3 linked regions of the Saccharomyces cerevisiae S288C genome follow. The protein of the gene in region 3 interacts with the protein of the main gene of each other region in a biochemical or structural test. Each region holds a gene or a part of one and is shown on either strand. Other genes may lie near its edges.

What was found. The genes of interacting proteins can lie anywhere in the genome.
Region 1: the proteins of POB3 (region 3) and SPT16 form a complex in vitro, tested with the Saccharomyces cerevisiae proteins (6 studies listed by BioGRID).
Region 2: the proteins of POB3 (region 3) and HTA1 form a complex in vitro, tested with the Saccharomyces cerevisiae proteins (3 studies listed by BioGRID).

The regions. Positions count from the first base shown.
Region 1 is NC_001139.9:97,405-103,820, reverse strand, and holds SPT16 (chromatin-remodeling protein SPT16), read right to left. Parts: upstream 4,853-6,416; coding exon 1,745-4,852; downstream 1-1,744. Other genes in the region: CHC1 (clathrin heavy chain), read left to right, coding at 1-1,278; SIP2 (Sip2p), read right to left, coding at 5,236-6,416. UniProt on the Saccharomyces cerevisiae protein: Component of the FACT complex, a general chromatin factor that acts to reorganize nucleosomes. The FACT complex is involved in multiple processes that require DNA as a template such as mRNA elongation, DNA replication and DNA repair.
Region 2 is NC_001136.10:913,690-917,672, forward strand, and holds HTA1 (histone H2A), read left to right. Parts: upstream 1-1,840; coding exon 1,841-2,239; downstream 2,240-3,983. Other genes in the region: HTB1 (histone H2B), read right to left, coding at 628-1,023; adenylate kinase ADK1, read left to right, coding at 2,797-3,465; chromatin-silencing protein SIR4, read left to right, coding at 3,882-3,983. UniProt on the Saccharomyces cerevisiae protein: Core component of nucleosome which plays a central role in DNA double strand break (DSB) repair. Nucleosomes wrap and compact DNA into chromatin, limiting DNA accessibility to the cellular machineries which require DNA as a template.
Region 3 is NC_001145.3:132,134-138,762, forward strand, and holds POB3 (FACT complex subunit POB3), read left to right. Parts: upstream 1-3,366; coding exon 3,367-5,025; downstream 5,026-6,629. Other genes in the region: DAK1 (dihydroxyacetone kinase), read left to right, coding at 1,342-3,096; ITT1 (RBR-type E3 ubiquitin transferase), read left to right, coding at 5,417-6,629. UniProt on the Saccharomyces cerevisiae protein: Component of the FACT complex, a general chromatin factor that acts to reorganize nucleosomes. The FACT complex is involved in multiple processes that require DNA as a template such as mRNA elongation, DNA replication and DNA repair.

The DNA.
Region 1 (6,416 bases), on a different chromosome or scaffold from region 3:
AATTACTCCAAGCTTGCTTCTACCTTGGTTTACCTGGGAGATTATCAGGCTGCTGTTGACACTGCTAGAAAGGCTTCAAACATTAAAGTTTGGAAACTGGTTAACGACGCTTGTATTGAAAAGAAAGAATTCAAGCTGGCTCAAATTTGTGGGTTGAACTTGATCGTTCACGCTGAAGAATTAGATGAACTGGTGGAAAGGTATGAATCAAACGGCTATTTCGAAGAACTGATTTCATTGTTTGAAGCTGGTTTGGGACTTGAAAGAGCTCATATGGGCATGTTCACTGAATTGGCCATTTTGTATTCCAAATATGAACCAGACAAGACCTTCGAACACTTGAAGCTATTCTGGTCCAGAATAAATATTCCAAAGGTTATTAGAGCTGTCGAACAAGCTCACCTCTGGTCGGAATTGGTCTTTTTATATGCTCACTATGATGAATGGGATAATGCTGCTTTAACACTAATCGAAAAATCAACCAAAGACTTGGATCACGCCTATTTCAAAGAAGTTGTTGTCAAAGTTTCTAACTTAGAAATCTATTACAAGGCCATTAATTTCTACGTCAAATTTCACCCATCATTACTAGTTGATCTTTTGACCTCATTGACACCAAGATTAGATATTCCAAGAACTGTCAAAATTTTCTCGAAATCCGACAACTTGCCTTTAATCAAGCCTTTCTTGATCAATGTCTTACCAAAAAATAACTCAGTTGTCAACCAAGCCTACCACGATCTGATGATTGAAGAAGAAGATTATAAAGCTTTGCAAGACGCTGTTGATTCTTATGACAAATTTGACCAATTGGGATTGGCATCTCGTTTGGAATCTCATAAGCTAATTTTTTTCAAGAAAATAGGAGCCCTGTTATACCGTAGAAATAAGAAGTGGGCAAAGAGTCTTTCAATCTTGAAGGAAGAAAAGCTATGGAAGGACGCTATTGAGACGGCAGCAATCTCTCAGGATCCAAAGGTAGTGGAGGCTCTACTCACATATTTCGTTGAAACCGGTAACAGAGAAGGCTTTGTTGCTTTGCTATATGCTGCTTACAACTTAGTGAGAATTGAATTTGTTTTAGAAATATCATGGATGAATTCTTTGGAGGACTACATTAAGCCATTTGAAATCTCCATAAAAAAAGAGCAGAATGATTCCATTAAGAAAATCACCGAAGAACTCGCTAAAAAGTCCGGATCTAATGAAGAGCACAAAGATGGCCAACCTTTGATGCTGATGAACAGCGCGATGAACGTTCAACCCACAGGATTTTAAGACGTGGATAAAATAATTCGTTTGCTGTACCCCATCGTGTATTTTTTTTTTTTTTACCGTTATTATTTTGTTTGTTAGCATCTTTGATTATCTGAGGGGATTTCAAAATGCCAATAAAAAAGACCTTATGAGTTCTGTATTTTTCTTAATATTTTCGAGAGAATTTCCCAACTATAAAATTGTAGATTACAGGAATAAATAAATTGCAGAAACTAAAATGATTGAAACTGCCTTTTCAATTTATATACTTTTATATCAAATTATGTTCAACTCTAGTAGAGTTTCTTTTATTACGCAAACGTCCTATGACCTTGACCGTTAGCATTGAGTGTACATTCAGTCCATTTACATTTCTTAGCATTGATAAATACTATGCCTAAATACCATCATTATTTTTCAGATACATAAGAGTAATTTTCTGTCAGATCAAGGTCTTGCTGGTGAAACCCAGTAAGTGTTATAAAGTCTAATCTCTAAAGTTTGCACCCCTATCAGCCCTAGCAGCCTTTTTCTCTAATTCATCCCAGTCTTCACCTTCCTCACTCTCGTCGCCAGTATAGTCCTCACTTTCATCACCACTAATATCGTCATCCACCTCTGATCCTTCTTCATCTTCAGAAAATGCGCTTTCATCACTTACGTCGTCTTCTGAAGCCTCATATTCACTAACTTCTTCTTCACTTTCATCAGATGCTTCATCATCTGAACCAGTAGCCAGAAAATTCCAACCACCATCTAAGAAAAACTGATATGGATCATCTTGTAATGACTTCATAATAGTTGCCCAATTCAAATTGATTGTTGAGACAGTGTAAGGAATATCCATATCTGTTAACCACTGCTTCAAGAAATCTAAAGATTCGATCGGAACTGTATTGATATGAGTGACGGGTTTATTGAAATCTTTATAAACAAAAACCATGTCGAAGTTTTTCAAACCAAATTGAACTCTTTCTAAAATACAGATTTCGACTTCCTCTAGGTTAATCACCAAAAATGGTGGTTCAATCAATTGAACTAAACAATCTGTAGTTGGCATACAGAAAACTGCCGATCTATTTGGGACACCTTGGAAGCCCAAATCTCTAAATGTATTCTCCACCGTCAATAAACCGTTTGATGCTTCTGCGATTGCGTCTGCAAAATACTTAAATTCTTTATCAAGCGCAGCTCGTTTTCTTCTTTCTTCTTGTTCTTGTTCCAGCTCATCCTCATCACCATATCTTCTGAATCTGGATTGACCTCGTCTTCCACCTCCAGTTTCATCGACGGACATATCAGAAGCTTCACGATAGAATTGGACGTCTTGTATTTTCTTTTTACCCATTAAAATTGGATTCTTCAAATGAATATGAATGACGACAATTAATTCACCTTTACAAGATTGAAAAATTAGATTCTTAATGTTTGAGAATAATATGTCTATTCTGCTATCAGTCCTTAGTGGGGATTGAAATCTGATACCATTTTCATGGATAAAGACAGTACTAGGTACACGTTTTGTATCTGGATTTGGCCTCACAAAAATTTGATCCAGTCTTTTCGTTCTTCCAGTTTTATTTTCAATCAATTTGTCCTGTTGAACAACATCAGCAAGCGCCTTACGTTCTTGCTCTCTCTTTGTGGCTTCTTTTTTCAAATCTGCAATTTGTTTAAAGGTTTCACTCATGCGGTCACCATCTTTGGATCTTAGTGTAATCGAACGTACAAATTGATTGTCTGCTGATTCCTCATACGGCAATTCCTCCACTTTTTTAGAAATACCACCAGAAGATCCCGGTGAATTAAAGTTCAAACGTAAATACGTATATTCGCCTTCTTCGTTTTTAGAACCATTCTTATATGAATTTATATGAAATGGGACTGGCCTACCGTAAATGGGTAGAATAATTGTTTGGCTTTTCCAGTCGACATGAATTCTTAGATCACGAATATTGGTTGGTAGTTGTGAATCCCGAACATAAGATTCATATTTTTTGAAGTATTGACGAGGTTCACTATCTGGGCCATTGGCATCAGCAGCACTAAATCTGAGTAATCCATTCTTTTCCAATTTTTCGTGTAGCTTCTTTTGGTTTTCTTTACGAATTTGCTCCTTTTGAGCGTCTTCGGCACCACCACGGGCTTCGCCACGTAACTTTGTTCTTAAAATTTTGGAATTTCTGTCTGGTTTACTAGGGACTTTGGTGGCAGGTGAAGATTTCTTTTTATTATTGTCTTCTTCTTCATTATTGAAATAAAATGATATCTGGGATTTGGCTTTGGTGTAATTTGTTAAGAAGCGTGGAGGCTCTGTTTCATCGAGAGGAATTTGAACCGTATCAGCTAATTGTAAAGCGTAGTTGTTAGCACTTTGAGAATCTTTCAGATTATTGAAACCAAACGAAATATTAAAGCAGTCACCGCGTTGGATTTTACGGTAATCATTCTTAACATTTAATATAAAGTTAGAATCTCTAAATTCGAGACCAATCAATGAACCAATGTTTTTGGTGAAATTGGGCACTAGTTCAGGTTTGGTTTTTTCGATGTATTCTATTACTGATTCATAAACTTCTTTTGGTGTACGGCCGGGCTTCAGAATGTTAGTTACAATTTCTTTTTGCAAAGTTAATAGAAAATCGTAGTTGTTGGCCATTTCTTCAGATGGATCGATCAAAAAGGTCCTAGTAATATTAGAACAATAATTATTGTAACGAATACCACATGAAGCTAAAATACAACCGTTGCCGTACAACTGATCATTGGTAGAACGGGCAGAAACCCTAAGATCAAACTTTTTCCCGGACTGAATGATTGGAGAATAGGTCCAATCCAATAAATCAAAGTTGAATTTGTAGTTTGGTGGGCATAATGCGCTTAAATCGGGACTCAATTGCTTCAAAAATTTCACATCATCAATTTTATTTTCAATTTTGTCTGATAACTTGGCATTGGTGATTTTCAACTCCTCGTCAACTGCCCGAACCATTTCATTGGATAAAAGGTCCATAAATTTGTCCGACCCCTTACTTGAAACGGACAGGAAGGCTTGTTCGTTAACATCCTTCACTTCCCAAACTTTAGAAAGACCCAGCGAAATATCAATGACATTGAATTCGTTCTCCTTCACAGCCGCTTCCCATACTGGGTTCCACTCAGTCATAAATTTACCTTGGTAAGAGTCCTTTTCAGGGATACCCACTGTTTTACCAGCGCTATTGATTAAGGCAATAACGTCATCAAATAACTTTTTATTGAGTTCTGGTTCTTTATTGTTTCTTTGCCACAATTCCAGCGTAATTTTGCTTTCAGGGTCTTTAAATAGATCAATTGCCTTTTGTAAATGCTTGGCCTTGGCAGAACTAGTAATTATAATAACCTTTCCGGGAACTAATGCAATCAAAGTAGCGGGAAATTCGTAACTTAGCAACCAATTATGCAATATGGTCGTCTTCTGGTACGGGTTTTCAGCGTTGGACGAACCTAAAACAAACAGCAGCGAATTTGGAGAACCTTCAAACTCATTGTACTTGGAATACAACAATTCAATCCTTTTCTTAAATACGTCAAAATCAATATTCAGCTCTTCCATATTCACTTAAATACACGAAGCCAGTTCACGAAAGGTGCAATATCAGAAAGGAGTAAAGTTGGAATAGCTGAACTTTTTACCTTTTAGTCCCGTGACTCTCTTAGCTACTTTTATTCCTCTTCTCACCAATATTAAGATTTCAATATTCTTTCGTTAGAAAAGTGGCGATTCTCATTTTCCGAAAAAAAAAAAGATCACGCGACTTCCGGGTATTAGTATCGTGGTTTGTGATAACAATAAGCATTGAGAGTACTGAGCCCATTAGTAAATCATTATGTTATATGCTTCTATATCTCTGCTTACACTAAATTGGAAATAGAAATTAGTGTGCCATAGCTGCCAAAAATATATACAATACGCCTTTAAAAAGTAGGAATCCCGGATTACGAGGACTCTATGGGCGTATAAAGAATCTGGGTGACATATTTCTGTTTATATCGAACGATGGAGGCTACACAAAGTGTATTGTGCTTAATGCTACTAGTAACCAAGTGGTTAAGCACCACATGGTTCGGAATGGGCAGAGCGCCTGAGTTGTTCTCGTTGAACTGGTCTTGCGTGGCATAGTATTTATTCAAGATAACATTCTCCAACTGAGGAGGTAATTGGGGTGGTGTCAGCCATGACGTATCAGTATTGCTTTGCTGACGATCCAAGGTATAATAGTATCGTTCCATGACAGACGGGTCAGTAAACACGGCGGGAATGTCTGTTGTATATTCCAACGGAGGTCTGGGTGACAGATCTTCATGAAACCTTGTATATCCGTCACCAAAATCGTCTGGATCCTTACCAATTTGTAGAGCAATTGAGGATCGATCGCTGGTGGGAGGTCGCATGGAATCTGCTTCCTTGGACCTTATCTTTTCGTTAGTTGGGTTTTTTTCTGGTTGCCTGACTTCTATGTAATTGACGAAGTTTCCCATCTGATCAGTTGCTGTGGGCAGGAAATCACTAACTCTAAGCTCATTATCCACTATAAATCTGAATCTATGTGTGCCTGGAAGCAGCCTTAGCTTCACATGAAATGAGCCATTATTGTCAGAATCAGGTATCAAACCGATCATTTTCCTCCATTTGGTGAATGAGCCTGTCACGTAAACTTTTGAACCACCTTGCTGCCACCTTATCTCCACGGGAACCATTAATGAGCTCTTGATTTCACTTGGACCTCCCGAAGCTTCTTTGGCACGTATTTGCTGTTGTCCCTCCTCTCTGGGCGAAGAATGGCCTGAGCGATCATCATCAGGACTGGCATCTTGCTTGGGCTCTGTCGTCTGGGCAATAATATCTCCCTCTTCATCATCGCTAGTAGACGAAGACCCAGAGTCAGTGTCCACAGCAGTTTCCATAACAGATAGCTTTGGCATAGTGGGCTCGTCCTCATCACGCAGCAATAACGTCGATTTTTTTTTGGTAATAGATCCCTCCCTTGAAGGCTGCCCCGCGTCTTGGGAATCTGAACATTTATTTAAGCTCAGTTCAGTAACTTTCTTGCTCACAGCATCCATTTCTTGCGGTTCGCAGCCTTGAGCATTGCTGGGTTTTTCTCTAACGTCACTCA
Region 2 (3,983 bases), on a different chromosome or scaffold from region 3:
CCACTTGAGAGAGGATCAAGGAATACTGAAGTGCAGCTGACGATCCAGTCAGCGACATCTGTCTTTTTTTAATTACTATTGCTGTGTACTTATAGAGTCGGTGGCATTTATTTTATTTTTAGTATTTTTTTATACGTGCGTATTCTATTGTTCATTTTTTTACCAATTTTTTTTTTATTTTTATATTTTGTTTCTTGCGTGGAGTTTTTACAGGAAGTTAATCACAACAGAGGGTTCAATCTCCAAGGCATAAAATAAACAAAAATTGTAATAGTTAGCAACTGCAATACGAATTAAAATTTGAGGAAAAATCTAGTATTGTTCACACGAGCCAATGCTCTGAAGTTTCGAAAGCTAATAAATATCATGTGGAAACTTTTCTGAGTCATTAATAAGCAACACTATTTATTCTTCTTATAATTAGTCTTACAAGTAAACTGCCTTGCCGCATAAGCGCATTCCCTCTATGAGACCATTTGTAATTTCGAGAACACAATTTTACAACCGAGTAAATATCTTATAATCATTAAAATTATTAAACTATTATACAATTTTTTTTACTTTACTTTAATTTTTATATACCCATATAAATAATAATATTAATTATAACCAAAGGAAGTGATTTCATTATGCTTGAGTAGAGGAAGAGTACTTGGTAACAGCTCTAGTACCTTCAGAGACAGCATGCTTAGCCAATTCACCTGGTAAGATCAATCTAACAGCGGTTTGAATTTCTCTAGCAGAGATAGTAGACTTCTTGTTATACGCAGCCAATTTAGAAGCTTCAGTAGCGATTCTTTCAAAGATATCGTTAACGAAAGAGTTCAAGATAGACATGGACTTTTGGGAAATACCAGTGTCAGGGTGAGTTTGCTTCAAAACTTTGTAAATGTAAGAAGAGTATGTTTCCTTTCTAGCCTTGCTTCTCTTCTTACCATCAGTGGAAGTGGAAGTCTTTTTAGCGGCTGGTTTCTTTTCAGCTGGGGCTTTGGAGGCTGGTTTCTTTTCGGCTTTAGCAGACATTGTATGTGTGTATGGTTTATTTGTGGTTTGACTTGTCTATATAGGATAAATTTAATATAACAATAATCGAAAATGCGGAAAGAGAAACGTCTTTAATAAATCTGACCATCTGAGATGATCAAATCATGTTGTTTATATACATCAAGAAAACAGAGATGCCCCTTTCTTACCAATCGTTACAAGATAACCAACCAAGGTAGTATTTGCCACTACTAAGGCCAATTCTCTTGATTTTAAATCCATCGTTCTCATTTTTTCGCGGAAGAAAGGGTGCAACGCGCGAAAAAGTGAGAACAGCCTTCCCTTTCGGGCGACATTGAGCGTCTAACCATAGTTAACGACCCAACCGCGTTTTCTTCAAATTTGAACTCGCCGAGCTCACAAATAATTCATTAGCGCTGTTCCAAAATTTTCGCCTCACTGTGCGAAGCTATTGGAATGGAGTGTATTTGGTGGCTCAAAAAAAGAGCACAATAGTTAACTCGTCGTTGTTGAAGAAACGCCCGTAGAGATATGTGGTTTCTCATGCTGTTATTTGTTATTGCCCACTTTGTTGATTTCAAAATCTTTTCTCACCCCCTTCCCCGTTCACGAAGCCAGCCAGTGGATCGTAAATACTAGCAATAAGTCTTGACCTAAAAAATATATAAATAAGACTCCTAATCAGCTTGTAGATTTTCTGGTCTTGTTGAACCATCATCTATTTACTTCCAATCTGTACTTCTCTTCTTGATACTACATCATCATACGGATTTGGTTATTTCTCAGTGAATAAACAACTTCAAAACAAACAAATTTCATACATATAAAATATAAAATGTCCGGTGGTAAAGGTGGTAAAGCTGGTTCAGCTGCTAAAGCTTCTCAATCTAGATCTGCTAAGGCTGGTTTGACATTCCCAGTCGGTAGAGTGCACAGATTGCTAAGAAGAGGTAACTACGCCCAAAGAATTGGTTCTGGTGCTCCAGTCTACTTGACTGCTGTCTTGGAATATTTGGCCGCTGAAATTTTAGAATTAGCTGGTAATGCTGCTAGGGATAACAAGAAGACCAGAATTATTCCAAGACATTTGCAATTGGCTATCAGAAATGATGACGAATTGAACAAGCTATTGGGTAACGTTACCATTGCCCAAGGTGGTGTTTTGCCAAACATCCATCAAAACTTGTTGCCAAAGAAGTCTGCCAAGGCTACCAAGGCTTCTCAAGAATTATAAGATCGGTTCTGGTATTTTAAAGAAGGCGGAAGGAACTAAACTGCTTCTCCATTGTAACTATATTAAGTGTCTATTAGACCTTTCTGTTTTTCCTTTTTATTTTTCTATATATAATTTATTGGGTATATAATTAACGGTAACATATGTCATGCATGATATAAATTTTTTGTTGTGTCTTCCTGTTTTCTCTGTTGCTCTGTTTAGGTTCATTGGGCACTGTTGCTTACTTGAACATGATTGAGTAGCAAACACATTCTGTGCTTTGTTCACTTTGATAGTGTGACGAAATTTTCACAACCAAAGGAAAAAAGCTCACGATTGCGCGATCCTGTCACGGAGAACTGTCCGCAGCAGCCCGCGGCTTCTGTCCTTATTCGCCCATTTTTTTTTGATTTTCGACTTTTTCACTCTGGCTAGTTTTATTACGCATATTTGTATATATATATACGCATAAATTTCTGAAATGGATTACCTGGTTTATCAGAAACGAGAGCTTTAATAAAGAAACATTAACGTTTCTCTGGTAAAGTCACCACACAGCATCAAATATAACAGTAATGTCTAGCTCAGAATCCATTAGAATGGTCCTAATTGGCCCACCTGGTGCCGGTAAAGGTACTCAAGCTCCAAATTTGCAAGAGCGTTTCCATGCCGCTCACTTGGCCACTGGTGACATGTTGAGATCTCAAATCGCAAAGGGCACTCAATTAGGTTTGGAAGCAAAGAAAATTATGGACCAAGGTGGTTTAGTCTCTGATGACATTATGGTTAACATGATCAAGGATGAATTGACCAACAATCCAGCTTGTAAGAATGGGTTCATCTTGGACGGTTTCCCAAGAACCATTCCTCAGGCTGAAAAATTGGACCAAATGTTGAAAGAACAAGGAACTCCTTTGGAAAAAGCCATCGAATTGAAGGTTGATGATGAATTGTTGGTTGCCAGAATTACCGGTAGATTAATTCACCCAGCCTCTGGCAGATCCTACCACAAGATCTTTAACCCACCAAAGGAAGACATGAAGGATGACGTCACCGGTGAAGCTTTAGTTCAAAGATCTGATGACAATGCAGACGCCTTGAAGAAGAGATTAGCTGCTTACCATGCTCAAACCGAACCAATTGTTGACTTTTACAAAAAGACCGGTATCTGGGCTGGTGTTGATGCTTCCCAACCTCCTGCTACTGTTTGGGCTGACATCTTGAACAAGCTAGGTAAGGATTAATGACCTTGCGCAATGTCTTCTAAATATCTTTTCTTTTTTTTAAATTAATGAAAATATAATAAATTTTTGTATGTGAGTACATATATCCGCAGTATACTATAAATGAAATAATAACATAAGTGTTTGTAACTGGCTATAACGTCCTTAAACATGTGCACTGCCATTAAGTACTTAGTCAATATTTTTATCGTTGAGAACGAACGCAAATCATATTACTAAATAGATGAACAAAAGCGCATCACATAAACAAAAACGGTATAACAGTAATAGTGAAGCTTTTTATAAACCTATAACGAAATAAGCGCTTTTCAGGTTTTATAATTCAGTCAGAGTTCTAACTGGACATCGTTTTGCAGGGGATAAAAAAAAAAAGGAAGCTTCAACCCACAATACCAAAAAAGCGAAGAAAACAGCCAATGCCAAATGACAATAAGACACCCAATAGGTCCAGCACTCCCAAGTTTACTAAAAAACCAGTAACCCCGAATGATAAAATTCCTGAAAGAGAAGAAAAATCC
Region 3 (6,629 bases):
ATTATTTCTTCTTTCATTTTGTATGTTCTCGTTCATTTTCCTAGCACATTATCAACCCTTTCATTTCAATTTCCATTAAAATTGGTGACTGTTTCTCAATATTTATTTGACCGTCTTATACCCAATATGGTAATATACCAGTAATATAAATACTAGTCGTTAGATGATAGTTGCTTCTTATTCCGAAAATGAGTATGGAAGTGTTGCATATGATAGGGCGGCTACAGTGATGGTAAACATAAGATACTTTAGCGGGAAATTAGCAACTGGAAGTTAAATTATCTAGACATAAGTGTGGCGGTCACGCTGAACGCAGGAGATCGGATAGATTGATAAGCTGATCAAGAACATTGATCGGTTTGTTGTTTAAAGAATGGTTTTTGAAAACGTTTGACCAGTTGCTTCTCCCAGACGCTTACCGATATGATGATAAAGATAATATCTTCAATTGAATACCCCGTGGATCAGCACGAATAACAGAAAAAAAGGGTGAAATTCACCGTAAGCATGATACGCACTACGTTCTTCTTACCTTTGCCAACGTGTTGTCTTTGACGTACGTAATTATGGGAGATCGTTGATGATTAGCCCCAGCTCACTTTCTTCTTAATGACTGACCCGCTACTATCAAAATTAAGGTGTCAAATATCATGATGAATGAGGTCTCTAGGCGACTCAATTATACATCTTTTAGAGATTTTTTTACTACTTGCAGATAATTTCTCAAGGGATTAGATTCAAATCTGGCTTGTCAATTACGCCCTTTTCAAGCTCATCAAATTGCGTATGTCATTCATGCTTCCATTAGGAACCATAGAAGCATGGCTGAAATGGCAATATACGGCTTCCCAATTTCAACTCTAAAGTAATGGCGGTCGAATTTAATCTATATTTTACAGTTTTATACGTACTTTAAAAGCAATCAGTAAACACCTCTGGTGCTATTCAAGGGTTTTTTGCCTTTATTTGTTACTGTCAATTGTCTGGCGCTGTGATAAAAAACAAGGCATAAAGCTCCCCCGTCATGAACATTAAGACTCGCTAGACGAGAGAGTGAAATATAATGCATTTCCTGATTTAAATGCGCTACAAACATGGTGTAAATCTGGCCCGGAGTGAGTGCTTGCCAATTTGGCTTCTAAGGGAGAAAGATCAAACCACTCCCAATTGCGTCATTTTGAAAGAGTGGCCACCTCGCGAGCGTCTGTCGAACTAACTGATGAATAAATATATAAGGAGAAAATCACTTCAACTTCGCTACAAGTAGTCACTATTTGTAGCAACTGTAAACGAACACATCAAAGAATAAGATTACATTCTATATCTAAGACTAAATTTTAAATGTCCGCTAAATCGTTTGAAGTCACAGATCCAGTCAATTCAAGTCTCAAAGGGTTTGCCCTTGCTAACCCCTCCATTACGCTGGTCCCTGAAGAAAAAATTCTCTTCAGAAAGACCGATTCCGACAAGATCGCATTAATTTCTGGTGGTGGTAGTGGACATGAACCTACACACGCCGGTTTCATTGGTAAGGGTATGTTGAGTGGCGCCGTGGTTGGCGAAATTTTTGCATCCCCTTCAACAAAACAGATTTTAAATGCAATCCGTTTAGTCAATGAAAATGCGTCTGGCGTTTTATTGATTGTGAAGAACTACACAGGTGATGTTTTGCATTTTGGTCTGTCCGCTGAGAGAGCAAGAGCCTTGGGTATTAACTGCCGCGTTGCTGTCATAGGTGATGATGTTGCAGTTGGCAGAGAAAAGGGTGGTATGGTTGGTAGAAGAGCATTGGCAGGTACCGTTTTGGTTCATAAGATTGTAGGTGCCTTCGCAGAAGAATATTCTAGTAAGTATGGCTTAGACGGTACAGCTAAAGTGGCTAAAATTATCAACGACAATTTGGTGACCATTGGATCTTCTTTAGACCATTGTAAAGTTCCTGGCAGGAAATTCGAAAGTGAATTAAACGAAAAACAAATGGAATTGGGTATGGGTATTCATAACGAACCTGGTGTGAAAGTTTTAGACCCTATTCCTTCTACCGAAGACTTGATCTCCAAGTATATGCTACCAAAACTATTGGATCCAAACGATAAGGATAGAGCTTTTGTAAAGTTTGATGAAGATGATGAAGTTGTCTTGTTAGTTAACAATCTCGGCGGTGTTTCTAATTTTGTTATTAGTTCTATCACTTCCAAAACTACGGATTTCTTAAAGGAAAATTACAACATAACCCCGGTTCAAACAATTGCTGGCACATTGATGACCTCCTTCAATGGTAATGGGTTCAGTATCACATTACTAAACGCCACTAAGGCTACAAAGGCTTTGCAATCTGATTTTGAGGAGATCAAATCAGTACTAGACTTGTTGAACGCATTTACGAACGCACCGGGCTGGCCAATTGCAGATTTTGAAAAGACTTCTGCCCCATCTGTTAACGATGACTTGTTACATAATGAAGTAACAGCAAAGGCCGTCGGTACCTATGACTTTGACAAGTTTGCTGAGTGGATGAAGAGTGGTGCTGAACAAGTTATCAAGAGCGAACCGCACATTACGGAACTAGACAATCAAGTTGGTGATGGTGATTGTGGTTACACTTTAGTGGCAGGAGTTAAAGGCATCACCGAAAACCTTGACAAGCTGTCGAAGGACTCATTATCTCAGGCGGTTGCCCAAATTTCAGATTTCATTGAAGGCTCAATGGGAGGTACTTCTGGTGGTTTATATTCTATTCTTTTGTCGGGTTTTTCACACGGATTAATTCAGGTTTGTAAATCAAAGGATGAACCCGTCACTAAGGAAATTGTGGCTAAGTCACTCGGAATTGCATTGGATACTTTATACAAATATACAAAGGCAAGGAAGGGATCATCCACCATGATTGATGCTTTAGAACCATTCGTTAAAGAATTTACTGCATCTAAGGATTTCAATAAGGCGGTAAAAGCTGCAGAGGAAGGTGCTAAATCCACTGCTACATTCGAGGCCAAATTTGGCAGAGCTTCGTATGTCGGCGATTCATCTCAAGTAGAAGATCCTGGTGCAGTAGGCCTATGTGAGTTTTTGAAGGGGGTTCAAAGCGCCTTGTAAGTACTTGGCTCACGAATACATATCAAGATACTTATGATATATATATATAGAAAAAGCTTACTTTTCTTGGAGTTATTGTTATTATCATCGCGAAGAACGATTGTATAACCCGGTTCAACGCGAAACGAATCGTTAAACTGGTGAAATGTTAACGCGAGTGTCAGAGATATACATAGTATGAGAGTAGCTAGATGTTGAATCGGTGGTAAGAACAAGAAGGAAATACCGTTAACAAGTGAAGGAACAATCTAGTATTGTTGAACAAGAATTATGAGTACCGACTTTGATAGAATTTACTTGAACCAATCTAAATTTAGCGGTAGATTCCGTATTGCTGATTCTGGGTTAGGGTGGAAAATTAGTACCAGTGGTGGCTCTGCAGCAAATCAGGCAAGAAAACCATTTTTATTACCAGCCACAGAATTATCTACCGTCCAATGGAGTAGGGGCTGCAGGGGTTACGACTTGAAGATAAATACCAAAAATCAAGGTGTTATCCAACTAGATGGATTTTCTCAGGATGACTATAACTTAATCAAGAATGATTTCCATCGCCGTTTTAATATTCAGGTAGAGCAAAGAGAACATTCCTTACGTGGTTGGAACTGGGGTAAGACAGACCTTGCCAGGAATGAAATGGTTTTTGCTTTAAATGGTAAACCAACTTTTGAAATTCCTTATGCTAGAATAAATAATACAAATTTGACCTCTAAAAATGAAGTAGGAATAGAATTTAATATTCAAGATGAAGAGTACCAACCAGCCGGTGACGAATTGGTAGAGATGAGGTTCTATATTCCTGGTGTTATTCAAACAAACGTCGATGAAAACATGACCAAAAAGGAAGAGTCAAGCAACGAGGTCGTACCAAAGAAAGAAGATGGTGCTGAAGGAGAAGATGTACAAATGGCAGTAGAGGAAAAGAGTATGGCAGAAGCATTCTATGAAGAACTAAAGGAAAAGGCAGACATCGGGGAAGTCGCTGGTGATGCAATAGTTTCCTTCCAAGACGTCTTTTTTACCACGCCAAGAGGTCGTTATGATATCGATATTTACAAGAACTCCATTAGACTCAGGGGTAAGACCTATGAATACAAATTGCAACATCGTCAAATACAAAGAATTGTTTCGTTACCAAAGGCAGATGATATCCATCACTTATTGGTTTTGGCAATTGAACCTCCTTTACGTCAAGGACAGACCACCTACCCCTTTCTTGTCTTACAATTTCAGAAAGATGAGGAAACAGAAGTGCAATTGAATCTAGAAGATGAAGATTATGAGGAAAATTATAAGGATAAATTGAAAAAACAATATGATGCTAAAACTCATATAGTTTTAAGTCATGTATTAAAAGGTCTGACTGACCGTAGAGTCATTGTTCCTGGAGAATATAAATCCAAATATGATCAGTGTGCAGTTTCATGTTCTTTCAAAGCAAACGAAGGTTATTTGTATCCATTAGATAACGCTTTCTTCTTTTTAACTAAGCCAACTTTGTACATACCATTCAGTGATGTTAGCATGGTAAACATTTCAAGAGCAGGACAAACTTCTACGTCATCGAGGACGTTTGATTTGGAAGTGGTACTGCGTTCAAATAGAGGTTCTACCACTTTTGCCAACATCAGTAAGGAAGAGCAGCAATTATTGGAACAATTCCTAAAGTCTAAAAACCTAAGGGTGAAGAATGAAGATAGAGAGGTACAAGAAAGGTTACAAACCGCTTTAGGTTCAGACAGTGACGAAGAGGATATTAATATGGGTTCCGCTGGTGAAGATGATGAATCAGTAGATGAGGATTTTCAGGTCAGCTCTGATAATGACGCAGACGAAGTTGCAGAAGAGTTTGATTCAGATGCGGCTTTAAGTGATGCTGAGGGGGGTAGCGACGAAGAAAGGCCTTCGAAGAAGCCTAAGGTAGAATAGTAATAATTTTAGACTGTATAAGTTAAATTTATTGATATTGTGTAAAAACTAACTAATATATTTTGCCAATTGATATTATCATGACATGGTGAGTGTAAGACACCACCTCTTAATTACTGGTGTTATTCTATACATTTATTTGAAATTGGTTTTGTTTTGCAAAATATTTATGTTTTGTTAATCTCCTCTACCCTTTCAATGCTTGAAAAATACTTTCAACTTTTCGATTGGGTGATGAAAAAAAGACAAATAGTGTAAAGGGTTCAAAAATAAATAACAAGCAAGAGAAAGGGACTTTGCTTTTCTCATTTAGTCACCAGTAAGTTATGTCATGGTGTAGAATAACGAATTACAGAAAACTAATATAACTGATGAAAGACCAGGGAGTAAAATGGCTTTGACTCAGTTTGAAAATGATTTGGAAATATTAAGAGATATGTACCCAGAACTGGAAATGAAATCGGTAAAAGTAGAGGAGGAAGGTGAATTCCCTCAAAGAATTAACGGAAAGTTACTGTTCAAGATATCACTATTGGCCGATGTAAATATTGAGTTCGGCGAGCAACATATGTTACTTTCAAACTTATCTAATGAATGCGTGGAGTTCACCATATATAGCTGTCATTATCCGGACATTCGACGGTGTGTTGTTATGGATATCAAATCCTTATGGATATCAACAGATGAAAAGAAGATGTTAATTGACAAAGCGCTGAGACTCGTTGAAGAAACTGTAGATATGAGTATTGAGTTCGCGGATTCGTTTACCTCCATCCTTATCCTCATCTTTGGGTTTCTTATAGATGATACAGCTATATTACTATTCCCTAATGGAATAAGAAAGTGCCTGACACAGGATCAGTATGACTTGTTTAAGCAGATAAGTGAGGAAGCCACCCTCCAAAAAGTGAGCAGATCTAACTACCATTGTTGTATTTGTATGGAAATGGAAAAGGGTGTTAGAATGATCAAATTGCCATGTGAAAATGCGAATGTAGAACACTATCTTTGCAGAGGATGCGCCAAATCTTATTTCACTGCAATGATTCAGGAAAACCGAATATCCAGTGTAAGATGTCCACAATGCGAATACAAAGAATTAAAACTAGAAGATTTCAAGAGCTATAAAAAAATGCTGAAGGCATTGTTTACACCTTTGATTCCAGTGTCCTTCTTAAAAGAGGTTATCGATACAGAGCTATGTGAAAGATACGAAAAAATGTTCTACAACCAGGCGGCTACAAGACTCTCAAAATATTGTCCGTATGCTTGTGTGACTTGTCGAAGATGTGATAGTTGGTGCACAAAAGAAGACCTCGATGATGCGATGATTCAGTGTCAAAAATGTCATTTTGTATTTTGCTTTGACTGCTTGCATGCCTGGCATGGTTACAACAATAAATGTGGCAAGAAAGTTTCGTTATCGACCGATATTATTGAGGAATATCTAGATGATACCGTTACTTCATATGAGAGAAAGCGGAAACTGGAGGCAAAATATGGGAGAAGAGTATTAGAACTTGAAGTCAATGATTACCTTGCTGAAAAAATGTTAGATTTAGCGATTAAAAAAGAGGGTTCGAATTTGCAGCGATGTCCAAAGT